Linked DNA regions of Kluyveromyces lactis. The protein of the gene in region 1 binds, or shares a complex with, the protein of each later gene. Links are inferred from orthologs where the notes say so. Each region holds a gene or a part of one and is shown on either strand. Other genes may lie near its edges.

Evidence for each region.
Region 2: MLP2 (region 1) and NUP2 share a complex: the UniProt entries of both Saccharomyces cerevisiae proteins name them as parts of the nuclear pore complex. The link is inferred for Kluyveromyces lactis from reciprocal best matches to the Saccharomyces cerevisiae genes MLP1 and NUP2.
Region 3: MLP2 (region 1) and ASM4 share a complex: the UniProt entries of both Saccharomyces cerevisiae proteins name them as parts of the nuclear pore complex. The link is inferred for Kluyveromyces lactis from reciprocal best matches to the Saccharomyces cerevisiae genes MLP1 and ASM4.
Region 4: MLP2 (region 1) and NUP116 share a complex: the UniProt entries of both Saccharomyces cerevisiae proteins name them as parts of the nuclear pore complex. The link is inferred for Kluyveromyces lactis from reciprocal best matches to the Saccharomyces cerevisiae genes MLP1 and NUP116.
Region 5: MLP2 (region 1) and NUP170 share a complex: the UniProt entries of both Saccharomyces cerevisiae proteins name them as parts of the nuclear pore complex. The link is inferred for Kluyveromyces lactis from reciprocal best matches to the Saccharomyces cerevisiae genes MLP1 and NUP170.
Region 6: MLP2 (region 1) and POM152 share a complex: the UniProt entries of both Saccharomyces cerevisiae proteins name them as parts of the nuclear pore complex. The link is inferred for Kluyveromyces lactis from reciprocal best matches to the Saccharomyces cerevisiae genes MLP1 and POM152.
Region 7: MLP2 (region 1) and NIC96 share a complex: the UniProt entries of both Saccharomyces cerevisiae proteins name them as parts of the nuclear pore complex. The link is inferred for Kluyveromyces lactis from reciprocal best matches to the Saccharomyces cerevisiae genes MLP1 and NIC96.

What each region holds. Positions count from the first base shown.
Region 1 is NC_006037.1:55,751-59,709, forward strand, and holds the start of MLP2 (Mlp2p), read right to left. Parts: upstream 2,801-3,959; coding exon 1-2,800. Other genes in the region: RPL40A (ubiquitin-60S ribosomal protein L40 fusion protein), read left to right, coding at 3,430-3,437. UniProt on the Saccharomyces cerevisiae protein: Together with the closely related MLP2, involved in the structural and functional organization of perinuclear chromatin. Together with MLP2, associates with the nuclear pore complex and form filamentous structures along the nuclear periphery.
Region 2 is NC_006038.1:545,774-549,755, forward strand, and holds NUP2 (nucleoporin NUP2), read right to left. Parts: upstream 2,487-3,982; coding exon 501-2,486; downstream 1-500. Other genes in the region: SGD1 (Sgd1p), read left to right, coding at 1-401. UniProt on the Saccharomyces cerevisiae protein: Functions as a component of the nuclear pore complex (NPC).
Region 3 is NC_006042.1:687,782-690,936, reverse strand, and holds ASM4 (FG-nucleoporin ASM4), read left to right. Parts: upstream 1-1,410; coding exon 1,411-2,655; downstream 2,656-3,155. Other genes in the region: KLLA0_F07271g (uncharacterized protein), read right to left, coding at 1-142; LUC7 (Luc7p), read left to right, coding at 381-1,151; NUR1 (Nur1p), read right to left, coding at 2,765-3,155. UniProt on the Saccharomyces cerevisiae protein: Functions as a component of the nuclear pore complex (NPC).
Region 4 is NC_006042.1:2,465,762-2,470,046, reverse strand, and holds the start of NUP116 (FG-nucleoporin NUP116), read right to left. Parts: upstream 2,801-4,285; coding exon 1-2,800. Other genes in the region: KLLA0_F26686g (uncharacterized protein), read right to left, coding at 3,557-3,796. UniProt on the Saccharomyces cerevisiae protein: Functions as a component of the nuclear pore complex (NPC).
Region 5 is NC_006041.1:1,832,305-1,836,450, reverse strand, and holds the start of NUP170 (Nup170p), read left to right. Parts: upstream 1-1,346; coding exon 1,347-4,146. Other genes in the region: KLLA0_E20637g (uncharacterized protein), read right to left, coding at 1-708. UniProt on the Saccharomyces cerevisiae protein: Functions as a component of the nuclear pore complex (NPC).
Region 6 is NC_006042.1:1,588,323-1,592,489, forward strand, and holds the start of POM152 (Pom152p), read right to left. Parts: upstream 2,801-4,167; coding exon 1-2,800. Other genes in the region: putative divalent metal ion transporter SMF3, read left to right, coding at 3,956-4,167. UniProt on the Saccharomyces cerevisiae protein: Functions as a component of the nuclear pore complex (NPC).
Region 7 is NC_006041.1:1,253,996-1,257,926, forward strand, and holds NIC96 (linker nucleoporin NIC96), read right to left. Parts: upstream 2,801-3,931; coding exon 218-2,800; downstream 1-217. Other genes in the region: PDH1 (putative 2-methylcitrate dehydratase), read right to left, coding at 3,309-3,931. UniProt on the Saccharomyces cerevisiae protein: Functions as a component of the nuclear pore complex (NPC).

The DNA.
Region 1 (3,959 bases):
ATTGCACGGACTGTTCCGCCAGAGTTTTATGATGCTCTATTTGTGAATATGAATCAGAAAGTTGCAAGTTAACCTTTTCCAATTCCTGTCTCAAAGTCTCAACTAGGTTTTGAGCATCATCGACATTACTTAACATCGTATATGATTGTGCCCGTGCCTCGGCCTCCTTGAGTTTTGCGGATTGTTCATTGATAGTGGATTGCATTTTCTGAAGTTGAGCTTCTTTTTCTTCTAAGGTCGTTTTCTGTTGAGCTGCCTCACTAGTTAACTTATCAATCTTTTCTTGAAACCAATTATATTGATGCTCTTTATTGCTAGCAATTCCTGTGGTGTTTTTTTCAATTTCTTCAAGGCGTTCGAGTGAACCAGACAACTCAATTTCCAATTTTCTAAGCTTTTCCTTATAAGAATTCTGAGTTTCCTTGAGTAACATTTCTCTCTCACGTTGGAGTGTCTGAAGTTGCGCAATTAACACCTTGTATTCGACACTTTCTTTGGAAAATCTTTCGTTCTCTGCCTTCAGTTCCTTTTGAACCTTTGCCATAAACTGTTTTTCAGACTTCAAGATGGATAGTTCCGATTGTATAGATGACAAAGTGGATTTCGTTTTGATTAAGGAATCTACAGTCTCCTGTGTACGTTTGTCCTGTTTTGTTAAAATATCTTGTAGATCAGATGATCTTTTTTGTAGCTCCTCACATTGGCGTTTGGAAAGCTCTAAAGTTGATTGTAATAGATTTAACCTATCTTCTGCAAGAGTACGTGAAGTTTTCTCAGATTCGAAATTAAGTGATATTTCATATAATTTCTTACGCAGGTTGCTGTTTTCTGATGACCATTCCTTGGCATTATTCTCTGCTTCTTGAATGACAGCGGTGAGTCTTGTTTCGAGATCCTTCACTTTATCGTCATTATCAGGAGAAGGGTAAGTAATGGCCTTAGGTGTGTTTGTGCCAGAGCTAGCATTTACTGACAATGCCTTGTATGCGTCCCTCTCCTTTGATAGAATGACTAGTTGGTTTTCAAGGTTCTGTGCATGATCATGAAGTGTAAGAATGGTTTCTTTTGCCTCTCTCACCGTTTCATCCTCTAATACCTGGATTTGAGATTTGTTTTCAGCTTCCCTGCGTTCTAATTCATCAGCAAGATTGCGAATTGTAGAAAGAAGTTCGGAGTTTTTCTGCTGCAACTCAACTACTGATCTAAATTCTACTAGTCGATCGGTTATAATGCCTTGAGTGTCAGAGGTCTTTGTTATTTCTTGAGAGTTGGTTAGATTTTTGACAAATTGCAATTCTTCAGCGGATAATGGTCCGCCATCCTCTGACTTAATAGATTCGTTCACGAGTAAGTACTGTATCTGATGGGCAAGGTCAACACGTTGCTTAGATAGGGAGGCTATTTGAGTCTCATAGCTTTTCACAGTAGCTTTCAAATAATCAAGTTGTGACGACTTTTGATCACGGTCTTTGCCAGTTGACTCTAACAAAATAGTAACCTCATTTAACTCTCTTTCAAGCATTTCACTTCTCTCTTTGAAGGAATTGAGAACAGGGATTTTATGCTCTAATTCAACAACGAATGCTTCCACTTGCATTTTTAACTCGTCTTTTTGTCTTTTCTCAATAACCAGCTGTTTTTTGAGCATTCCCAAATCACCATATAACTTAGGTATGACAGAAACCGATTTTTCTGAAGACGCAGTGGTATTACCAACTTCGGAGTCTTCTAATTTTATGTTGGATGTTAATTCATCGATTGTCTCCTTAAGTTTTATGCAGTTAGATTCAGATGCGTCTAAACGATATTTGACCGCATTGAGCTCTTCAATGAGCTCGTCTCTTTCTTTTTCGGTGAAATATGATGAGTCCATGTTATTCTTTGTAGCATCCATTTCTTTCTTCAATGATTCCATATGTTTCTCTAGAGCATCAATCATTCTCTGCTTTAAAGACATCTCTTTCGTAAGCTCTTGTTTAGAGAAATTGTACTCATCTTTAATTTCTTTGTTCTCGGAAAGTTTTTGCTCCAGTTGTTCATGTAAACTGTGTACCGATTGTTTTAGTTTCTGATTACTGGTTCGAGCTATTTCCAACTCTGATTCCATATTCGATACCTTTAACTGAGAATCTTGTAATTCACTAATTGTGCTTTCTCTAAACTCATTGAGTTGTACGGTCTTGGTATTTAACTGATTGGTCAACCAGTCATTGTTTTCTCTCAATAATGTGATTTCTTGTTCCATCCTTAAAATCTCGCTTTTCGAACGTAGCTCTAAGGCCTGCTGAGTTTGTAGCTCAGTTTCAGTATTGACGACTTTTTGTCTAAGTTCCTTATTCGCTCCCTGTGCTTCATTCAATTTAGCTTTGGTAGAACTGAGTTCTTCAATTTTTTCGTTTAGTGACTCTGCAATATCTTGCTTAGAAGCGTCAGCAAGTTCTTTTTGTTGCCTCTCTACTTCTATTTCTTGTTCCAATTCTATGATTCTTTTGGTCACTTGTGAATTTCCTTCAATTAGACGCCTTTTCTCTTCTTCAAAGTGTAAGCGCTCATCCTTCCCATCTTCCAATGCCTTGGCTAGTTGAGAGATGTGAATTTTGAATGATTCTAGTTTGTTCTCTGATTGAGATTTTAATTGATCCAAGGTAGCAGTTATTCTTAGGTTTTCAGATTTTTGTTTCCGAAGATCTTCCAACTTCTCCTCAATCCTACCTAAAACATCATTATTAATGTCTTGTATCAGTTGCTGGTCGACTTGTAGAAAGTCTGCGACCCTAGAGGCAATGGGTTCTACGGACATTCTCAACTCCACAACACAACAATGGAATAGCAATCTATAAGACGCTACTTTTACCTAGTGTTCAAGCTAATCGCTATGATATTCAATTAGAAGTATACTAAAAATTTCTGCAGGTATACATGAGCATATACAATGCACATAGGCTTTGTTCTTGACAGGTAATTTTTGTTCAATTTCAATATTAGGTCCAATTCGGTGAAATTCAAAATAACGACCAGATACCACGAACTGACTGCAGAACGAAATACAGAAGTCGTATCTAAACTAACAATCAGGGTAACCGGTACCAGTAAAATTCTACGTTCCAAGTTGGGACGGTTTGCAACAACATCCGTGCACTATTCAACAGTGTGTCTGGGTGTATAAATTTCGGGGCTTGACAATTAAAAATGCATATATTCCTCAAAACGGTATTTTTATTTTCTAATTGCAGAAATCACTTCGTTTTTGCTCGTTGTCGATTCCTCAGGTTCACCAACTTTCTATGTACCAAACCCAGATTGAGGAAAGCAAGCAAGAATTCATACTCAAAGTATTTTGGATTATATCATTTAATCATACGCACTTAAGATAGCTGTACTTAGTTGTTGATTACTATCAAAAAGATCAGGAAAGGACAAGATTCAAAAATGCAAATGTATGCACAATATGATAAGCAAAAGGCATCTTATTTTGGGGTTTCTTGGTGATTCAAGACGGTTTATGCTACTTTGAAATGGGACGAAAGCACATTAGCTAAAAAACAACAAGACGAACTCGGATAACAACTAATGAAAATGACAAGGATTTACTGTGTTTGGTGTAACATATATCATGATAGTCGCTATCCTGTGAGAACTTGAGCGTTTCATTTCGGAGAGTGTGAGTACGCGGTCTAAACTGTTGAGTGAGATATATGTCACGATTTCTTCAAACGAAAGCAAGTACGCTTTGCAGAATGAATAAGGATACAAGGAAGCAGTTTAATGGGACCTATCACCTCCTAACTATCAAATGCACAACAATTCATACCTACAGAGGGAATTTTTTTTGGTTTTTTATTAAGCTTTACTAATCTAGCAAAATTAACTTGAACGTTCACTAATTCTAGGAATCGTCCCAATAAGATTGCCTTAAGAACTTTGTTCTGATCGAGTTTCAAACTTTTACTAACAAATCA
Region 2 (3,982 bases), on another chromosome or scaffold:
TAATAGCAGAAGGTCACTTGAAACTTGATGCTTTCAAGCATGTTCCGTTAATGGCAGGACTCAACTCAGATGGAATAATCTTCTTTGATATTTTGCTTTTCCAGTTGTTCCTTTCCGAAGGTAAGGCAGCCGAAATAAAGATCAAACGAGATGGAAAGAAAACATTTGAGTATAACTCTGATGGTTTGTCTTCTTTGATCGAGAAAGGTATTAACATTCAGAATAAGAATGTTATTTTAAAAGCGCTAAGATGGTTTATATCTAAGCATTTTGATTATATCAAGTATATTTCAGGTATGAAAGGCTCAAAAGAACATGATAGAGAAAGTAGAAGACTGTCTTGGGCAGTTGCATCTTTCAAAAAACTGATAGAAGAGGAGCTCAAAGGTGCTGAAGATTGACTATTTTAAGTACTTTTTTTTGCCATTTTAATAGTTACACATGCATATATGAACTAAGTTCAAATAGTTCTATTAATTAACAGTTAAATGTACTTAATTTTACATCGGTGATTGAGCATCCTTGATCGCTTGTACTAATTTTCTACCATCAGCCTTTTGTTTCACTTTTACGACGTATGTGTCTAACCCTCCTTCCGCTTTAATTGCAGGACACTTAACCAAATTCTCATTATTTGGATCTAATGCTTCATAGGAAAATGACTTTATAATACTAGTATTTAGCAAAATATGACCCATACCGTCTGACCTACAAAGTATTCTTGCTTTTGTATTGTCTTCCTTGTTTTGCAAAACCTTCAATTCACCTACACCACGGGAATCATAGGCTTTCGTCTCAGTATTGAAAATCATTAGCTTGGCGCGTTGCGAAAAGAGTAGATTCTCATTCTCCTCACCGTTCGATAGATTCAAAGTTTTAGATGGCTCTTCTTGTGCCTCAGCAGATGCGTCTTCGCTGTTTTTTTCACTAACTTCCTTGGCAGTATCCTTATCAGATGTTGGAGCAGATGAGGCAAAGGGTAAAGAGATCTTGAAGCCAGATGATTCACCTTGTGGAGGCGCCTCTTCAGATTTGTTGGCACCAAAACTGAATGCTGGTACAGTTGATGCTGCTGTTGCCCCAAACGTAAACGTAGGTTTTTTCTCATCTTTTTTGTCGGTCTCCTGTTTTCCAAAAGTGAAAGGAGTGGAGCCTGTTGAAGCTTTACCAAATGTAAATGAAGGTTTAGATGACTCAGCCGGTTTTTCAGAGGTTGTTGAGGTACCGAATGTGAAAGAAGGCTTTTTAGCTTCATCATTACTGTTTTCCTTGCCCATAGCTCCAAATGTAAAGGAAGGCTTTGATGAATCTTTGTTTTCAGTTGCTGTCCTTTGCACTGGAGCAGAGAAGCTAAACGATGGTTTAGAGTCCGCCGATGGAGCAGGGGCAGAGAATGTACCGAAGGTGCTAGCTGGCTTTGCTTCTTCCTTTTTATTTTCACTTTCTTTGGCCAAATCTTTATTGTTGCTGAAAGAAAATGAGAACGGAGATGATGAATTACCATTATCAGCCTTATTTGACCCAAAGGCAGGAAGAGCTGGTTTGCTTCCCTCATTTTTCTCTATGGATGGTGCGGACGCAGAAGGAGGGAATGTTGGTTTAGATTGTGAAGAGTTCCCAAATATACTAGCTGGCTTGTTATCCGTTGGTTTTTCAGCTGGTTCAGATTCCTCTGTCCTTGAAGCATCATTCTTTGGTAAAGTAAAGGCACTGGACGATACAGTCCCATTAAACGTAAATTGGGGTCCCTTGATCTCTATCTCGCTGTCGCTATCGCTGTCAGGTTCCTTACGCTTATTCCCACCGAAGCTGAAAGGCGGATCAGACGTCGTTGGTTTCTTAGCCAAGACAAACTTTGGGCCTTCAACATTAACGGCTGGTTTTTCCTCTTCAGAATCACTATCGCTGTTAATCTCAATTTGTTCTTTTTTATCTTGCAGTCTCTCTTCCGTTACGGTCGTTGTCGGTTTAGTCACCTCCGAAGGTAGAGCAAATGATGGTGCTGCGCTAGGCTTTGCGAATGCAAATGGATTTTTAGGTTTCTCCACATTTGCTGATGTGGTACCAAATGTGAATGAGCTAGTTGGAGGAGCGTTTGCAGCGCCATTAGTTTTCGCTTCTGACCTTAACTGTTGCGAATAGGTCTTGTATTTATCGAACAGGAAAGAAATATCAGCAACTGGATCTGATTCCAATGTAGAATTTATTTTATTTTTGAATTGCACGTTCAATGCCGTGAGTTTTTCGTTTAAGTCAGTGCCTTGAGGTTTCTTGTCATCCTTTATCACTTTGAACATGTTAGGTTTATCACCCGCAGTAAATCCTCCCATTTTCCTCTTTGGCATTGCAATTTTTCTGGTACTCATTACAGATTCGCTGGCAACGGCAGGTTTATCAAATGGAGTCTCGTCATCTGAAACATTATTACTATGTCCGTTCTCAAGACCTTCTCTGGTCATCTGAGAACCCGCAAATCTCTTTGACATATCCTACAGTGAGTATTGTGCTTGGAAAGATCAGCTCAAGAGAAGTCACTTTCTTAATCAGAAACGAATTGAACTAACGGGAAGCAACCGGAAGTAGCAGAAAAGGAGTTTAAGGATTGCTGATGTGTAAGCATTCAGACATCAACATGAGAATTGATGATACTAACACCAGAAATAATAATAAAGCAGCTCGAAATTCTAAATCCTTCAATATACTGTTGACTCGTGTGGGATGACTTATGCTGAACACGTGACTACATGTTATTCTGCTTGTGATGGGTTGCTCAGGGGAGTAAAAATGTAAAAAGTATTTAGCGAAACTTTCGAATCGCTTTCTCCTCCGATACCGGGAGTCGAACCCGGGTCTCCACGGTGAGAGCGTGGTGTGATAGCCGTTACACTATATCGGAATATAAAACGTTGTTATGCTTTCAGGGATTATTTGCAATAGCCACCGTTATAACCGACACACGTGCAATGATTTCTTACCTCATTAGTTGACGCAGGTGGCAAGTACGATGGCCGTAACACCATGTAGGACTTGTTGGTGTAAAACTTGCTAATCTATCAGATGAAACATCTGTTTTATAGCGCTCTTATTTTTAATGTTGTATTACGGGACTGTTTTGTTGGATCCAGACACCACGTTATATATCCGAAAGTTGAACTTTGTATATTTTCTCATGCGTTATTTCCTTCCTAAAGAGGAAATTATCTCCTTTCCAAAATGAGTCCATTTGTCGCAATCCTCGTTATCCTGCTTCACTTTCTCTGCTTCTCCGGTAGGAAGAGGAATACTTTGCGTCCTGGACAAACTCACTTCGGATTGAATATTCATTTTTTGATTTACATTGAATTGCAACTTAGAGATATTAACAAGTTGTTTAAAGTAGCACCTTGATTATTATAGGGTTATTTACTTTTGAGTTCATTCAAGAAGAAACCAGCTAAGGGAATTTGAACGTATGTGCCGTGTACTAGCAGTGGTTACTTATTTGGAATAGCACTTTTGGGATTACGATGAAAGAGATAACAAAATAAAACCAGCACGAGGTCTGATATCGAGGATTATACAAGAATAAGATAGATATATGAATCAGGAAGAGGTTCTAATGTTAATTTATTGATAGTGATGACAAATGAAACAACACCAGTTATACTGAAACAACATTTACCAGAGATATTTTGTGGACGGATTGATAATTTTCTCTCCAACATTGTATTGATCATCGTACTATGGCATCAGGATTAAAAGTGTACTGAATAATGCAGCTTTTTGTTATTTGGTGATATAGCCCAATGGAACTGCCAGCAAATATTTCTTAGGAAACCAGATTCTATAATTTGGGTGAATTTGCTGGAAAGTAAGGATTCATTCAAATTGACAAGCTATCTATCAGAAAAATTCTCTCGTCATTAGTCGGACTTGCGACAAATTTACTAAGTGATGTGCTACTTCTCACTACACCCCTCTTCATAAAGAATCAATTTTTTAC
Region 3 (3,155 bases), on another chromosome or scaffold:
CTCGACAAATTCTAATTGCGCTGTCATTACCATTACCTCCAATAACTAAAGCAGAAAATACAGGCTCCATTGTTTCTAGCTTGCATGTTCTAATTGTACTACAAATTATTTCAAAAGGATCACCTAAGATAGGAATGATCATGTTTAGAAAACCTAAACTGCCATTTGTGTCATGTTTTGCTTGTGTTATTATATATTTATTTTCAGTATATTTTGTCGTCAGAATTTAAACCTGGCATTTTCAACAAGCTACTTGAAAAGGCGTACTGAAGAAGTATCATTGTTGAACTGACCAACAGAGCAGAAAAAGTTAATCACAGAGTCCAAACTGCACGCAACAGTTTGGTGTTACTTCCATCAGAGATATTTGTAAGTGAGAAATGTCTGCAATTTTAGAACAGCGCAAGCTGATTTCTCAGCTTATGTCTTCGGCTGCCACATCGCATGGGCTAACTTCACCATCAACGTGCAAATCATTTATCATTGGTCATTGCCCCTATGACCTTTTCCAAGAGACCAAGCAGCCCATGGGGCATTGTCCACGTATACATTCAGTCTCGCATAAAATGCAATATGAAAGAGATGTAAAGAAGGGCAAGAAATATCCTGAGTTTGACCTTGAGCATTACTCCATCTTGAAGAAGATTCTTAGTGATTGTGATGTTCAAATTGAAATGGCACATAAAAAGTTACAGCATCATGAGGAACATTCGAAATTAGCAGCACTTCTACAAGCAGTGAATCAGCTTGAATCCAAATGTGCTTTAATGCTTTCAGAAATCGATATGCTTATACAAAACGAAGAAGTTATGAAGGCGATGATTCAAAGCTGTAAATATAACAAACTGCAAACAGAAAGGGACACACTCAGCGAAAAATGCAGGCAAATGAACGAAAACACAGGCCAAAGTGCACAACAGAAGCTACAGGTATGCCGTGTATGTGGAGCCTACCTTTCAAGATTAGACACGGATAGAAGACTCGCTGACCATTTCATGGGCAAACTCCATCTAGGATACGTAACTATGCGTAAAGAACTTGACATGGTAAAAAAGAGATTGCACGAACAAGGGACAGATCTTCACACATATCTCCCGCAAACAAGGAGACATCAAAAAGCAGTATATAGAGGTAAATCTTATCGATCGTGAATGTATAAATTTACACATACACTGAAGCTGTTCATAATGGCAAACATTACCCGGATTTGAGTATTCTAATTGAAATAAAACAATTTCAACTAATAAACATCAAGAATAAGATTAGATGAGAATAGCTGTTATCATCGTAGCATGTTCATATGCACCGGTAACACTGTGGTTTGGTGTGTTCTTCAATTTCAAGTAGGATAAATTGATCATTTTTGACTGTTGAAACATTGTTGAGAAAGCGAACTGACAATCCTAAATCATGAGTTCAGTATTTGGCCAACAAGCGCAACAAGAGAACAGGTTTGCAAACTTGCAAATAAATTATCCTCAGCAGCAGCAGCAAAACCAACAACAGCAGAATAGTTCACAATCACTAGTACAGAGCTCTGCCACGAATGGAAAGGAAGAAAACTGGTATAATATAGCTAGAAAGAGAAACATTCCACAATCCGTGATAAAAAGATCGTCTAAACCGAGCTCATCTGGAGATGGATCTTCGAATGACAACTCTTCCCAAAGATCCGGATTCAATAGCGTCCAGTTTGGCACAAAGAAGCCAACATTCAGCTCTACGCAGCCTGCACAACCTACTGATATCGCGACTTATGTGGAATCGAATGAAGCTCCCCCAACAAAATCGTTATATGATTGGCAACGAGAGGATGAGTTCGGGTCTGTCCCCACTAACGTGAACGCAATGCCTTCGTCTAACCAAATACCTTTGACTCAAGAATACACTAAGAGCACAAGAAACGCATTCGACAGAGATGCGTCGAAATCCCCTGTAAAACCGACAGCGGATCAAACAAATGATATATCAAGACAAAAATCGCAAGAGAGCGCAGTAATTGTATTTGGATATCCAGAATCCATTTCAAACCAAATAATATTACATTTCTCAAAATTCGGAAATATTTTAGAGGACCTTGAGGTTCTAAGAGGTGTTACAGGTAACAACATATCCAGTGCTACTATTAGAATTCGTGCTCAAAATAAGGACTCTAAAATTCCTCATAAGAAATATCCTATCTTCACGGGCGATGGATGGATTAAAATCACGTATGACTCCCCTAGTGCCGCTCTGAGAGCTCTACAAGAGAATGGTACCGTTTATGGAGGTTGTTTAATTGGCTGCGTTCCTTATAGCAAAACAGCCGTAGAACAATTGGCTTCGTGCAAAATCGATAAAACTGATGACATCGGAGAAATCCCGTTCAGTTTATCGATGAAACCAAACGGACCTGAATCATCTGATATACAAAATGGGACACAAGAAAGTGCTGATAATAATAAACATGGGTTCACCTTTTCTACTCGGAAATTGGATGTCAAAGATGGAAAGCAGTTGTTTGTGCATAATGCAAACCCTCCTCATGGTGGTCCAAACTTTTTAAGAAATTTGGAGAACAAGTTACGAGAACAGGAACAGCATGGGAATAACCAACAACCAACAAATTTAATTGGAAGGGTCAACAATTGGTTATTCGGGTGGAACGACCTATAGTCTCATTGTCTTTAGTAATTAGAGATGTATTATGTTTATATAATTTACGGATACCTCAAGAAATTCCAGTGCACCAAACTTCAATGAATGTGAGTATTTGAGTGAATAACTACCGAAATGGTGAAGACGATGAATTCCGAAAGGGAGACTTTGATATACGGTTATCATCATCATCACCATCATCGTAATGTAACGTACCAGAATTGATGTCGGGAGATCGATTGAAATAGCCTTGTCTGCCTCTTCTGAAACGATCATCCATTCTGAATCTGTCATCAGACACATCGGGTATGCTATCATTTGTTTCATCCGGATAGTTTAGTAACCTATTTGCAAAGTGTTGTTTAATAGGACTATGAGAGTTTCTTCTCTCACTTATATTATGATTTCTAGATGCATTGGCCAACATGGAATGATCGAAATGAGGTTGTTGAGATGGTATTAGAAGTGGCGTGGAGGGAGCGGAAGGTGTATTACCACTTTGAAGATGAGAATAGCGA
Region 4 (4,285 bases), on another chromosome or scaffold:
TCTGTTCCATTTTCTTTTGTGGTCCGTCGTCAGTATTGAAGATTATGAATTTCAATTCACCAGATGAGGTATCATCTTCTTCCATCTTTTGGCGATTGATGATAAGGTTTTTGAAAGACTTTTTGTCTGGATTAAAGAGGAGTTCTCCGGTAGTTAAAATAGCCTCATCAGTAGATGCAGTGAAAATTGAAGAATCCATAGGCTTTCTTGTTAGAGCAGTCGAACTAGTGTCTTCCTCCTTGGGTTTTGATAGTTTTAGATGAATTTTAACCTTTCTGGAGTTCGGTTCCGACTTTTTAGAGTCAAACAAGGGTTTTGGAAGCAGCTTGTATGCTGCGGAGAGGGAGTTCTTTTTCTTCAAGTCTGCAGAAACCATTGTGGCACTAGGCTTAGTTGGTTGAGTAATGGAATTAGGAATAGAGATAACACGGGAGAATAGCTCATCCGTACCATATGGATTGGAGTTCGCTTGTGCTGCTTGCTGCTGGTTTTGCATTTGTTGGTTTTGTTGCAAGGAAGATGAAGAGAATAAACCACCTGTATTTGCATTACCAGAAGTGTTGTTTTGTGATCCAAATAATCCTGTCGAACCAGTATTTGCTGGCTTATTCGCAGAAAATAAACTTCCGCCACCAATTGATGAGGCATTGTTCGTGTTTGTTGCGCCAAAAGGTGCAGTTCCGGCAGGTTTTCCACCGAATAATCCACCTCCAGTGGTACTACTCAAACCACCTGTTGGTTTAGTGCCGAAAAGGCCACCAGATGTTGACGCACTATCAGCTGGTTTGGCACCAAATAGACCACCAGTAGCCGTATTCTGCTGTTGTGTGTTGCCTCCGAATAACCCGCCGTTGGTAGCTCCTAAAGCGTTAGTGCCGGAAGGTTTGGCACCAAAGAGACTACCCGATGATTGACCTTGTTGCTGGTTGTTTTGACCAAATAGACCCCCCGTTGCTGTGTTGTTCTGGTTGTTATTTTGACCAAACAATCCGCTAGATGTATTCTGCTGCTGACTACTTTGGCCAAATAATCCACCAGTAGTTCCTGTTGGTTTTGCACCAAACAATCCTCCGGTGTTGTTTGCCATACTGTTGTTCTGCTGACCAAATAAACCACCGGTGTTAGGTTGCTGTGTTTGTTGGTTCTGATTACCAAATAACCCCCCCGTTGCAGACGGTTGATTACTTTGTCCGAACAATCCGCCAGATTGTTGTTGCTGATTATTTTGACCAAACAGCGCGGAACTACCACCCATTACAGTTTTATTTTGAGCTCCGAATAACCCAGTTGAACCTTGTTGACTTTGGTTGTTTGATCCAAACAGGCCACCGGTAGTTGGCTTCGCACCAAATAATCCTCCGCCCTGTTGATTCATGGAGTTGCTATTTTGTTGTCCGAAAGGACCGCCAGTGCTAGCTGCGTTACTTTGTTGTCCGAATAATCCTGTACTGTTTGTGTTAGATGGTTGTTGCTGTCCAAATAAACCTCCGCCAGTATTGGTGTTGTTTTGTCCAAACAATCCACCCGCCTGAGTATTGTTTACCTGACCGAATGGAGTAGAATTAGCAGCATTTTGTTGACCGAAAGGAGAGGGTCCGTTCTGTGCTTGCTGACCGAATAAACCGCCACCTGTAGTTCCACCTGGTTTTGATCCAAATAATCCACCTGAGGTGTTATTATTCTGACCAAATGCGTTATTGGCGTTACTTTGTTGACCAAAAAGTCCACCAGTATTGGCCGCTGTGGTGTTATTTTGTCCAAACAAACCACCCGGTTGATTGTTGGTGTTTGTTTGGCCGAAAGTGCTCCCAAAGGTGTTTGAACCAGTATTTTGACCAAATGCGTTACCTGGGTTTTGCTGTTGGTTTTGTTGACCAAATAATGAGTTGTTGGCTTGACCAAATGCGGAATTATTATTGGTGGTGTTTTGTCCAAACAGACCTCCAGAGGTAGCCGGTTTGTTTAAACCGAATGGAGAAGAACTTGAAGCAGTATTTTGCCCGAATGGAGAATTATTCTGCTGTTGTCCAAACATGCCAGTTTGCTGTTGCTGCTGTGGTTGGCCAAAGGGAGTGTTATTAGGTTGTGAAAATGCATTTACAGGCTGTTGCTGGCCAAAAGGTGAATTTGCAGGCTGTTGACCAAAGGGAGTTGCGCCACCTGCACTGATGGTATTTTTATTTCCTAAACCAAAAGTGTTGTTAGTACCATTTGTCTGTTGTTGACCGAATGGCGAAGCAATAGCAGAAGCTGTCGGACCTCCAGCAGTGGTGCTAAATTTCCTATTTTGTTGATAATCTTGGAACCTCAACTCTTCAAACGAATAAAGGCTATATTCAGGCATACAAGTAATAGATTGAAACACCGATGGATATCCAGTTGACACATCCTTTTCCGTATAAGGTTGGAATGGCTTGATTCCAGTGCCAGAAGGAGGTCCAGAAGAGAGAACGCCTGTCGCTGTACCACTAGATTGGCTACCACCAAACAGGGATGGTGGGTTCGACAATGAATTACCTGCTGCTGCTCCTGCTGCTGCCCCGCCAAACGGAGAAGTAGTTGTATTTTGCTGTTGTGACATACCGAATGGGGAATTTATAGTTTGCGTAGGGTTTGTATTAGCGCCGCCGGTACCAAACCCACCAAACCCTGATTGCGCGTTGTTGGCAGAGCTGGATCCAAACAGATTGTTTGTGGTTCCACTATGCTGTTGACCGAACGCATTGGTTGTTGACTGAGTTTGTTGGCCAAAAGGAGAAGTACTCGTCTGTCCAAATGCCGGTCGAGAAGCACCAAACATCAGTGGGTCAGGAAATCAAGTGAGGTGACAATTGATGAAAAAGCTGACTAGGAATAAAATAATATGTCCTTCAATGACACAAGTAATCTCTAAGTAGATAATACCAAAGTCGTAGCGTTTTGGTTCAATGGTATTTTTCTGAGAAATAATTTAAAGATGAGTGAGTGTCCTTGTTCTCTGATTGTGAAAGAAGAAACACACTAATCAATTAACGATCTATAAAAAAATTTCCCACTTTACGCACTGTATGAATACTTTTATTGGTCTCAGTTGCTGATAGTATGACTGAAAGACAAATACGACAAATCATATAAGCCGAAACATTGCTTGCATCAACTTAGAAAACGTTAGTTCTTTATCATCAATTAGTTGTTTACTTCAAGGATAAAGAAATTTTCAGAGGTGAGGGATGACCTAAAATCGTATTAAGTGACATAGCGTACGTAGTGATACGTAGTTTTGGGGGATTGTGATGTAGCAGTAATTACTTGAGCACAAGGGAACAGCTGCTAATGCAATTCTGAGTTGGCTCCCTGTTTGAAACACTTAATTCCAATATGTTATATATAATGAATTCCGTCTGTTAAATTACCCAAAAAGTATATATGTTCTATATAGTCGAAAGAAATGAAAATAAAATGAGAGATAAAGCCAGGCAGTAAAGGCATTAAAAGATGCATCTCTCTGGTATGCAAATCTTCGGTAGACACAATAAAGTAGATGTGAAACCCCCTTATTGGCTTTAATACCATAGCGTCATAGGCTCTCTAGGCCATTCATTACCTCATTCATAAGTAGATAATTCTTCAAATTCCTGGGCTTTAACGACCCTGTCGTTAAATCCACGATCAAATCTTCCTCTTCATCAGAATCACAATAGTCTTGCTCTAGGTCTGGAGTCGATCTGGGAACTGAATTTAAACTTTTGAAGCATTGTACTATCACCTGGGAAACCTGCTGCGTATCTTTGGCTTTTCCAAAATTGTCTGTGAACATTGTTGAATATTGTCAAACGGGGACGCTAATGGGTATATTGTAGTAGGCGCTTGTTAAGCCTATTCGGAGGTCGGTATCCTGTGTTACTCCTTATTATGAGACGTCTTTCTTACACTTTTTAACTTATCAATACAAGATACAGACAACCTCGAATCTATTACATAGGCCTTGTCAACAACTGAAAGGTTATTCCTTATATATATATAACCTCCATAAAATATACTACAACAAGATAACAATAACACACTAACAAATTGTGGTTAAATCTCTGAAACAAAATGGACCACTTCTGTGGGCAAAGGAATCAAAAGGCAGCCCGTTAATGTGCGTTATCATTTGACACTTTCACAATAACCTCTCAGCAGGAACTTCAAACACCGATCTTTTCATCAGCCTAAGTGAAAGTACCGCAATAAAAAGTGTGGCTTTCCACTCATTCCTCAACAGAGCATGTGACATGCGCCTAATGAATGCCCCCAAGAAAACTTA
Region 5 (4,146 bases), on another chromosome or scaffold:
GCTGGGTATCATTTTAGAAAGAGGTTCGATGTTTTCAATATGCACAGTTGCCTTTTCCGGTCCAACTGGTTCAATTTGTTGGTTATTGCACTCTGGTACTTCATTCATTGGGTTTAATATATAGAATGGCTTAACTGATTCAGGCAAGTTGGTAAAATCATCAATTGAAAACGCCTGTGAAAAATACCAATTTGGGTCCAACTTTTGGTACACTGACGGAATATAGCTAGCAGTTCGAAGGTTACCTTTTTGAGACCAGCTCAAGTTTGGTAAGCATTCCAATTCAAACAAAAAATTAGTTCTACACTTCGTCAAATCTTCATCTGAATAGTGAGCGTCTTTGATGAAATAATCACGATTTTGAATGCTTAATCTTCTTTCAAGGTCCTTAAAATTATCTTGTAATTCTTCTAACTTTAAAGAAGTCAAAACTTCTTGCTTTTTCGTATCTAACACAGTGTCCGTCTCTATATTGGTGGACAGCCTTTTGCGTTGTGGAGATTGTTTTTCGAGATGTAAGTTCAAAACCCCTGTAAGGCTGCTGCTAGCTGATTGAGGGCTTTCGTTTAAGTAAGGTATTTCAATCGGAATATTCTCCTTATTCAAATCTTCCAATAGGATATTTTTTTTTAAGCACATCCTTTTCGCCGGCTGGGTATTAACATCTTGGTTATCCAATGGGATCTTTCTTCTAAGCTTTCCGACCATTTTTGCCTTCTGTTTGAGCGAACGCTTTTCTATAGGAAAATTGCCGGGTAGTACTTTTCAAAGCAGGAGATTTAATTGATAATTTACTTAATTTTGAACTTATAATCAGGACCCAAGGTTTCTGGTATCATCTTTTATATTCCATTACCTATAGTACCAATTTATTGACATTTTGTCACAAAAGTGTCAAAATAAATGAACATGATAAAGTACCCATAGTTGCTAATACTAATATATATCGTCACGTATCACATGAAAACATACACTGGATGTTTCTTATGGGTGAAATCAAGAAACTGAATGCTTTGCAACTAGAATAAAGTTGATCTGTCGAACTGTAATGGTATTGTTGGCCTTTATGAGTTCACTATCATGTTCCAGTTTAGATCACCAGTTCCGGGTAATCATTTTCAAATTTTTTTCTTTGGTTCTCTGAATAAACAAATAAAGATGATGTTCTAAATCTACCTTGCAGAACCAGGTCTAACAGTTATGTTTCTCTAAGGGCACTTTGTCCAATTGGTTAACTGATTGCTCAGCATAAAATTTTGCTTTACTGTATCTGTGTACTTGTCTTTTTTGAATTTCGGAAATAGGGTATAGACTTGAGCTAACAGTGTATCGGCAAGACAGGACAGATGTCAATATATTCTACGCCGTTGAAAAGCAATTGGAATGGCAATGCAAACTTTGCCAACCCGTCTGCCAATGTCAACGGGCTACCGATGAATGGAATTGGCAATACCTCTTTGGTGCCTCAACAACAAGGATCAGACGGTACTATAGGAACGTACGGTGCTAATATGACAAACGTAATTTCAGGTTTAAACGGCAACACAGTAAACCCACTGAACTTTAATGCTTCACATGAGCATATTAAGGTAACGGGTCTTGGTGCTGCAAATCCTCTGAATCTTGCCTCTCAATACATTGATCATTTGTTGCGTCGTGACATTAGTACCCCGGTACTGGATGAAAGATCGTACTACAATAATGGGGTTAACTACAATTTTTCCAAGGAAGTTGGTGGATTAGGCCCATTTACTCCGTTTGAAAGACTTAATGTGATTAACATACCAGATGAAATTTTGCAGCAAGTATCTACTGCTGAAATCAAAACAAATATGGGTTTATTTCCCGATATTGAACGTTGTTGGATCACTGTTGATAGCAAGTTGATCCTCTGGCATTATAATAACCCTTCAGATTTCCAATCAATAGATGACATCAAGCATACCATATTACAAGTTGCCCTAGTGAAACCGAAACCTGATACATTCGTGGAATCAATCAACCACTTGTTATTGATAACAACTCCTTTTGACATATACATACTCGCAATTTCTTATGACAGAATCAGCGGCTCGTTCAATATCTTCAACACAGGGATGAGCGTTTCTGTTCATGGATTGGATGTACATGAAATCGTTTATTATGAGAAAACAGGACAAATCTTCTTTTCTGGTAACAGCAATGGGACCAACATTTGGGAACTTCAATATTCATCTTCAGAAGATTGGTTTAACAATAAATGCAGCAAACTTTGTTTGACACAGTCTGCTCTTTTGAGTTTACTCCCCACAAATATTTTCTCCAAGATTCCAGGCTCGGCACTTGTACAATCTTTATTTGAAGAAGATTCAAAGTATGCACAAGAATACATTACACATTTGACTGTAGACCAATCGCGTGGTATTTTGTACTCATTATCATCAAAATCAGTCATCCGAGCTTATAAGATTAATGGTAAATCCTTAGATGGACCAACTACAATCGAACCCTCTTATATTAAACGTATCATGGGAACGACTCCGGCTAGAGGAGCTGCTATCTTGGGTAACAAATATTTGAAAATAGTTAAAGTAGAGGTGGTTTCGAAAGAAGAGAATAACAATTTATTTTTGGTAGCTATCACAATTGGCGGTGTTAGGTTATATTTCAATGGTTCTGTTAATTCTGGTAGCGTAGAAGCTTTAAGATTAGAATCCATCAAGTTCCCACCAAGTTCTGTCAGTCCAGAAACCATAGAAATTGAGTTACAACAGCAGCAGCAGCAACAAACTAGAAAACTTACACCCTTCTATTCTTCCCTCAACAGTATGGAATCTGTACAGTTGAAATACCAGAAAAAATCGTCAGTGTTACTTGAAAGCTCGAAAGCTTCGTCAATTATTTCACCTGGCATTTTCTTTTCTGCTGTTACAAAACATCCAGCGGAACAAACATTGGGAACTATGGGAACACCTGTAGCAACTGTTCAAAACACTCCAATACAACATAAGCTCTTTGTCAGTGTACCAGATTATGGTATTTTGAAGAATCACGGTCGCTACGTCGAAAATTCTGTATTTTTGGATACCACCGCCCCAGTAAGAGAAGTTATCCCCATATCCTCTTTGTTCAACGGTGCCAATAAGCCAGAGGGCTATGCCAATGCTTTTGCAACTCAGTACAGTGTAGAACCATTGAAGGTTGCCGTTTTAACAAATACATCTGTGGAAATCTATAAATACCGTAACCCAGACCAGATCTTGGAGTCCTTAATTAACAACCCGCTGCCCTTCATTGTAAATTATGGGTTAGTCGAAACCTGCTCATCTGCTTTATTTGTCACTTGTAAATTCAATAAGTCAGAGTCTTTGAGATCCAATGCGTTAACTCTTTTCACTGTAGGTATACCTAATGTTGTGGAAATCAAACCAACATACAACAAATACGCGAACAGTGCGGTATCAACACTACTAGGTAAACCATCACTGAATTTGATGACCCCACAAAAAAGCTCTACTGAATTAAGCAAAACTGCCAATACTCTTTCGACACCAAATGTATCTGGTGCAAATAATTTCAACCTTGATGATGTCATCTTGTCCGCTAGATTCTACGGTACCGCTCTGTTGATTGCCAGATTATTTAGAGACATATGGGATAAAGATATTTTCCAACTCGATCCCCATGTAAAAATTAATCCGGATAATTCAGTGATGAAGAGTTCAATTAAAGGTGATAATATTATTACAAAAATCGTTGTATCAAGAGGTGATATCGAATATTATCTATCCTCAGTAATGATTTTAAACGAGTTCTTCCAATCATATGGTAATTCAATTACAACAATCACTAATATTTCTCCAATTAATGGAGAAAAGGTGGTGGATAAAGGAGAAGATGTTGCGCATCAGGCAGAAAATGTTGCTATGAACGCAGTTATCAAACTCCTTCAATCCATAAAGGAGTCACTTTCATTTTTGAACGTACTATTCGAAGAGAGTGAAGTAGATGGTTACGAAGGGCAATACTTAGCATTTGTTGACATTATGAAGTACTTGAATTTCGATATTCAATACGACTTAAGCAAGTTGAAATTCAAGGATATTTTCAATCCCAATGAACAAACCAAAAATTTAATAAGAGAGATTCTCTCCTCAATCATCAACA
Region 6 (4,167 bases), on another chromosome or scaffold:
CATATTCTATCAAAAAGGGTGGTATGCCGTTTAGAGACATATCGATGGTTTCTTCAAACCCTTGGCAGACATCATTTTTAATGTAGTTGAAATCGTCCAGTTTTGAGATTCTGTTGTGCTCAATTAATGAGTACGTAGGTTTTTTGAGATAACTTACTTGGAAAGTATGGTTCGGATCTACGATCTTGCCAACACAACTCTGGTCACGAATTGAAGCCAATTTATACAAACCTTCCTTCATAACCTTTAAGGCCGGTTTATAGTTGGAACTGAAAGTCACCTCTTCAGTTTCGAGAACGTCTCCCTTGTTATCCAAATGGCTATAGGTGATTCTGAAAGGTCCTTCACCTGAAAGTTTTAATGGAAGTTCTGCGAATGAAGCTTCTTTAATGCTGACTTGGGAGGAAGATTCTGACACAGCAAAAGAAGCAGAAGGAATATCTCTTCTAACGGTAATTCTGGCATCAGTACCACTTAGACCTACCAAACATCCACTGGAATCCTTCACAGAAACTAAAGATAGGATATGATCACCACCAATGTTGAAATTAGGTGTTTCGATCTCATAGGAAAAACTTTGAATATTCTCTTTATTAAACGAAGTTCTCTTATTAGAAGAAGTCTCTACTAAATCATAGTTTAACGTGAAAGGAGGCTCACCACTGAATTTAATAGGTACCTTCGTTTTCCCTCCAAGACATAATTTTGTCTCTAGCTTCCCTGAAATCTTTGCACTAGGTTTCACTCTCATGCTGGTTTTGAATGTGTACTCTTTCGAATCTAAGGAGATAGGAGATGTGAAAAGTTCATTTGACAATTCGGTGAAAACAATTTCATAACTGCCTTCTGATGTGGGTGAATAAGTAAACTGGTTTCTGGTTCCTTGGGAGCTGAATTTTTTTGTATCATATAGTTTACGTTCTCCTTGCTCAGTTTTGTATATTTTTGTTTTGTAGTAAAAGGGAGGAACACCGGTAAAAGTAAGATCAAAATTCAAGCCGACCTGTCCAACACATTGATCTAATATTGGGGTTGATCTTACAGATAATTGAGGAGGAATTGGTTTAGTTATCAGAACATTAGATTTTCCAATCACGGCACCGTGGCAATACCTCGATTTTACTGAGAGCAAATTATAAGAACCTGGCTCATCAACTTTGAATTCTAATGTTTTATCATTGAATTGTTTTTCGAAGTATCTCACTTTGGAGTTGTTATCTTCATGGGATAACTGAACGATGAATGGAGCATCCTTGTTAAAATCGCCAGAGTCCAATTTGACTATTAAAGACCTTCTAACAGAACTGTCGGGATTCATTTTTTCATCCAAAGATACTCTTGGTAAGTCGTGCACGTAGAATCTGTGGATCAAATCATACTTTTCTCTTACTTGTGATGATAATGAGGAAAAATCAATGCTATTACCAAATCCATCCACAATTCTTTCGATAGAGTAAACATGTTCACCGTATTCTTTGGTTGAAGTTTCTAATGCGATATCTACAGGGTACGAACGAGCCCATTTTAAATCTTGGACATCTTTTTGACTGTAGAATTTTGAATTCGTTAGCAAAGGTGATTCAAAATATTCTGGTTGAAGTGATGAATCTTCTAGTACGTATCTTTGGCCATTGATTGTCTTAGTATAAGTCAATTTAAGAGGTGGAGCACCTTGTACCTGAATTGAAACCTCATCATTATCTCCAACACATCTATCATTTTCTCCCTTTCCGTTAATGGAAGCCAATGGGCAGTGAGGTAGCACTAATTGGGATTTGTATATTCTCAAATTGATATTATTAGTGTCTAGAACGGTTTTCAACTGGTAAAACCCGATTTTGTTAAGAGGTACAGTAAAGTAATGTATGTTACGATCAGTTTCTTCCTTTGAAATATCTGCCTTGAGTGGTTTTAAATCGTTCTTGGTGAAGTTCCACAGTTCACCTTCATTTGAGTATAGATCTCTGAACTCTAACTGGACTGTATTGATTGTGGATGATGAGTTGACTCTTATAGGTAGTTCAATGGCAGGACCAGATTGGTCCAGTGGTAGACAAAAAGACGAGTGGAAGGGATTCAAATATGCTGTATTTTCTGGCAAAATTTTAATGGTATGTGCACCTTTGAAGTGTTCTGCCGAATTCATAGCCTTTCTTGGGTTGACAGAGTCACCTGTTAAGGACAAGTCTCTGCTGTGATACTGTCTCCATAATGACAATAGAAGCGATACCAATGGGATACTTTGTTCACTGGAGATAAACAGTGTGAGGGTTGCGGATGAAATAATCTGCAAAAGCACTATCAGTGGTTTGAACTTTAATTTGGGTATTTTGAACGTGGGGAGACAGTAAAAGAACAAAGAGTCTATTACCAAATATTTTGAAATGAAGTTTAACCTTGAATTCGATAGAAAAATCCCAGATAATGGTATCCCACTCTTAAGTAGGATTAGATCGTATAGTTTGTAGCATTGAATGATAAAAAAAACGACGAAGGCTAATCTTCTCTGACTGGCTGCATCGAGAACTTCAGTAGAAATCAAAGGTAGCTCCTTAATCGATTCACTCGCTGGGCCATTCTTTGCTCTACTAGTGCTTGACTTCGATTTTCCTGTGTAATTGGAAAAACCGGATATACAAAATGGATCTTCTTTTGGTTTGTTGATCTCTTCATTTCTTCGATCGCTTATTCCTCCTCTGAACGAGTCTTTATCTCTATTTCCAACGTTCCTACGCCTACTATCACTCCACATCGATGGAGTATGTGTATAGAACCCATTTGTTCCGAAACTGGAATCCATTATCTAACTGTATATGCGTCTGAACTTATCTCAGCTTCCCTTTTCAACAGAATATGATTCTAAAGTGCCAATACGCAGAAGTTTAATAGAAAAAAATGGGATCACGCATACAACTTATCACTTAGTCGCTCGCTTTTTAATTGACGATTGGTATGTAACGGGTGCCTGGATCGCGATTGCTTGTTGATCCTAGCCTGCATCTGCATACATGAGAAGACCAAACATAAGCTTAAAGTTTGAACTTCTGTTTGTTGACAAGATCTGAATCGGATATATCATTATGTACGATTCAGGTTTCGCTTCTGATCAAGGTACAATGGTCAAGGACGCAGCAACTCTATATGATCTGCCACTACGTTGTGGTCTTAATATTCGAATTATAGCCTCTTGAATTCTTCGCCTATCCAGAATTACCAGTGAGATCGTTTGCATCGATATTATAATGTCGATTCCGTTGCATAGCTCCATTGCTTACGTCAAATTCCCGTCAAATTCCCGTCATCCTCTCATAAAACCCTAGTCAGAAGCAAGGAGGACATAAATGCTAGTAAGCAAATGTCTTTACCCCATCTGGCTAATGAATCCTGAATTAGGTAAGTTTTATCATGACCTCATCTGATAAAAACCTCGGCAAATTTGAATGCCAGATTCAGTAATAGTAATGATAGCTAAGGGTCCTAACATATATAATATATATATTTACCAGAGAGAAAAAGAATGTTTTGGTTGGAATCGAGATACTTCCATTGTCCAGGATCGTCTCCTTTTTTGAATCACAACTGGAGCACTGGAACTTATTTGTTTTCAACACCATATACAGCTCTCACGTTCGTCGTATATAACATTACAGAGGTGCATTTGAATCTCCTTCTATAAAAGAAGTTTAGAAATTTAAGGTTTTGATTTATTTGATTTGCACTCTTACAAATAAGTCATTTACGAGAAGAGAGTTTGCTAAAACACGATACGTTAGAATCTGTAAGAGTTTGAGGCGCTAGCTCAATAGAGGTCAGATATTCTGTGTTGTAAATTGGTGATAGTTCTGCTGTTTTCATTCTCTGTTTATTGGAATTTAGATAAAGGAACGAAAGACGGTAATTTATTCTTGGCACGTTACTGTTGGTACTTAAAGATTATCTAAACTGTGAAACTGCCATGCTTATACTATCTCGTGTATTCGAGAGGAACCATGTTGAAATTTTGAGGAAGTTTATGAAGTTTGTCGGACCTGGGATCATGGTCAGTGTTGCATACATGGACCCTGGGAACTATTCTACTAGTGTGTCAGGTGGTGCACAATTTAAATACAAATTGTTGTTCATCACATTCATTTCAAACATATTTGCGATTGTCTTGCAATGCCTCTG
Region 7 (3,931 bases), on another chromosome or scaffold:
TTCTTGTACATTTCGTTGCATCTTCTACTCACTACAACAATGCACTGCTGAAAAGGTAATTGGCAGTTCAAATGTATATATATACATATGCATATATAATCTATCAGGCAATTATATCGAATAACAATCGACTTACACATGGTTATTTTATTGTATGCTATTATGGTAGGACGTCTGGGTTCTGACATAACTCAGGTGCTCATAAATGAGAGCTCTGCTACAAACCAACTTCTATATTGATTAATATGCTGTAAGTTTCTCTTGGCATTTTGTATTGAATCATACCAGCATAAATCATACAATTTTTAGCAACACGTTTGAGAGAATCGATTTGCTGCTTTTTAGTCAAAGATTGGTAATCACTTTCGTTCAACTGCTTTATGATGTTAGAAATGCATAGCATTGTAATTATCAACAGGTTAGGTATGTTCTTTAATATATTCTCATCCAAATGTGTAAATTCTTGTGCTCTTTTTCTGGTCGAGCTTTCATCCGTGAACGGAATTAAATCGAGATCTTCAATCTGTTGTAGGGTGTTTTGCCATTGGCGTGCTAGGAATGATGCTCTTATATCAGCTAGTTTCAACAAGACAATACATGTTTCTTTGTTTCTTGCCTGAACCTTTTTAGAGATTTCGATGTTGTTGATGTACACTTCGATTAACTTCTTTGCCATTAAGACGTAATTCGTTTCGCTGTTGTCATTCAACCTAAAGAGGGATTGATTGAGGTCAGTGCTACTTAGAAGTTCTCCCAATAACTTGTTGATAATGGACATAACAATGTCATATTCTTCTGATAACTGGTACAACAACAAACTATCATGAATTCTTCTTTCTTCATCAGCCCTACGAGCAGCCTGTTCGGTAATCTTATACAAAAAGTCCTTCTGGTCCTCAAGCTGTAATAATGGGCGTCTTTCTTCAACTACACCGGGGATCCTAATTCCTTCAGAGTTGATCTTTCCGAGAAGTATGGTGAACTCTTTAGTTTCCAAGATCAATTCCCTGAGTGCCTCATACGCCCATTCAATCTGCTCTTTCTCATTCACTAGTGCGATGAGAATTAGATATTCGACAGCTATTCTTGGATCAGAGTACTTGAACGACTTTGTGTAATTTCCTAATACCTTAACAAAGTTTATCCTTGTTTGGCCATCATTCACGGAGATCAACTCATCCTTTTTATAAGATGACACATGTAACATGCCATTTGCCGCTAGACCAATTGCCAAGTGAACAGCATCGATTTCATTTATTTTGTATGAGTACTGTACTGCTAGTTCATATTGTCCGCTTAACAAAAGGGCCTGTAGATAATAGTTTTTAAACATGTACTCACCGTAAGAGACAACAGTATGTTGGAAATCGCTGAGGGTATACCTTTCATATACTGGATCATCCATATCCATATCATCTTTGATTAACATCAAGTGAATCCATAACCAATCTTCCACGCTTAGAGTAATAGAAGAGATATTCTTCCTTGTCAAATCACATCTGCCAATAATTTTGTAGACCGCCAAACGGAACGGATCGCTGTCCAAAGTGTTTTTGATATGCTGGTTATATTCTGTATGCAACCTTGAGACAAATTCCTGTGGAAGACGATGATCAGGAGACGTTACATAAGCTTTGAAGTATGTTAGGAAAGATTGCTCCACTTTTTTGAAACTCAATTTGTTGTTAACAACTACTTCTAGCGCGTCCTGCGGTAAACCAGCCCTTAGCAAATAAAAAATCAAGGCCCATACGGGAATTCCATTCACAATCGTAAGATTGTTAAATTTCCAAGTATTTTCACCAGTCTTCAGTTTGAGGTCAATAAATGCTCTAATTTTGTTAACATTGGTCGGTAAACCTTCGCTTGGATTCTTTGAATACAAATTGTCAACATAGCTCAAGAACTGGTTTTCTAGGTATTTTTTGGAAAACTCAACAATATTTGGGGATTGATTTGTTGCATTATCTATAATCTCCCAACCGTCAAGTAGCTGTCTATACTTCGAGTCGGTCGTATTCTGAAAGATGGCAATGAACTCTTTGGTTAATTGAAAATCGTCATTATGTGATTGTCTTGAATTGTTAAACCTGTAAATAATTTTGGCATATTTCTCAAACTTTTCTCTAAGGATGTGATTTCCATTGACATTTGAATTTAAATCACCATCCAAGATACCACTACCAGGTGGTTTCCCCCAAAATATTGGACCGTTGGGATCCAAAGGAGCCAAATTAGTCGTATCGTAGTTAGAACTATCCTGACGTTTCTTGACTAGGATCCCAAAGCTTTCTCTTACTTCATCTTTCCTTTGCTTCCAATCTAGGTTGAAGTTCTGATTAATGAAATTATCAAAATCCTTCGCTGCTAAAGACAATGATTGTTCAATGGAGGAAAGGATATTCTCATCCTTCTTAATATGTAAATAAGTGTCCAAATCACCATCGTTATAGCCTTGTGCAACCCGTTGTTCGGTTAACAACTCTGATGACTTAAGATTCTTCAAGGAACTCTCAATTTCGTGAAATTCAAGTCCACTTCCTGCTAAGAGATAATGAGCTTTTGTATGATTGGAATCGTGAGGAATTGTCTTACGCATCTCCTGTGCCCTCTTTTTCATCTCATTGACACTCAATAAGATAGCTCCAAGGTCAGATGAAGTAGAAGGTAAGTTCTTTGACGTTTCTAAAAGCTCATTGAATAATTTCGATGAGCTCTTAGACGTGGAGCCACTAGTCTTTGCATCGTTTTGAAATGCAGATAGCATTGTATCACTGCTGATTTGACTGTTGATATTCATAGTTCCACGATTGTGTGGATTTTACAATTCCAAAATCTGAACGGGTTAAAGATAATTTGATGCGATGGATAGCAACAATGTGTATTGATTTTCAAAGTATCTTCAATGAATTATTTCCATCATCTATTCAACGTATTGATAGTTTACATTTTCTTTTATTGTTTTCTGTCTAATTTTTTTTAACTACAATGTTTTGCACCGTTACCCGAACATGTGACGGGACAAAAAAATGGACAGCCAGAAATTGATCATGACAGTAATTAATATTAAAACATAAGTATGTATGTATTAACTCAAGAGAAAATAAGTTAATTATATATTGTAATCTGGAATTGATGATTGCCAGAATCTTTTGATTCCTGTGGTCAGTTTTTGTAGAATAGAAAATGTTGTTTTGGTTACCATTGAAATGTAGGTTTTACTTCGTTTAGTTCAAAAAAAGAGTTGAATGAAATGAAAAATTGATTGTGGTCGTTATACGTTGATGATGCTGTGCGAAGGACAAAGCTTAATCGCAGTACATGTTGACATATTCATCAACAGTTAAGTTTAAGAAACCGTCATCTGTACTTGCTTCCATTAAAGCTTCCACCTTTTCAATATCGCCGGCGAAATGTTCACGCAAATGGTGGTAGAATTTCTGCATCAATAGTGGGACACCTTCCTTTCTTCTTAGTCTGTGACCGATTGGATATTCTACGACCACTTCATCTAAGACAGTCCCATCATTCAATTCTACTAACAAAGCGTTTGGGATTGATCTCTTTGATGGATCATGATAATCCAAAGTGAATTGGTCATCTTTAGTACAATACATCTTAGCTCTCAATTCGTCAATTTCAGGGTTGCTTGCTACTTCATCACTGTAATCGTCAGCCGTTAGTCTACCGTAAATTAATGGAATAGCAGTCATGTATTGAATACAATGATCTCTGTCAGCATAATTGTACAATGGACCCTCCTTGTCAATAATTCTCACAGCGGCTTCTTGAGTTCTAATTCTGACCTTTTTAATGTCTTTGTAAGTTTTGCCCAACTCTGCCAACTGTTTATTCACCTTAATAGCTGCTTCCACTGCCGTTTGAGCATGGAATTCTGCTGGGAACGATATCTTGAAAAGAACGTTTTCCA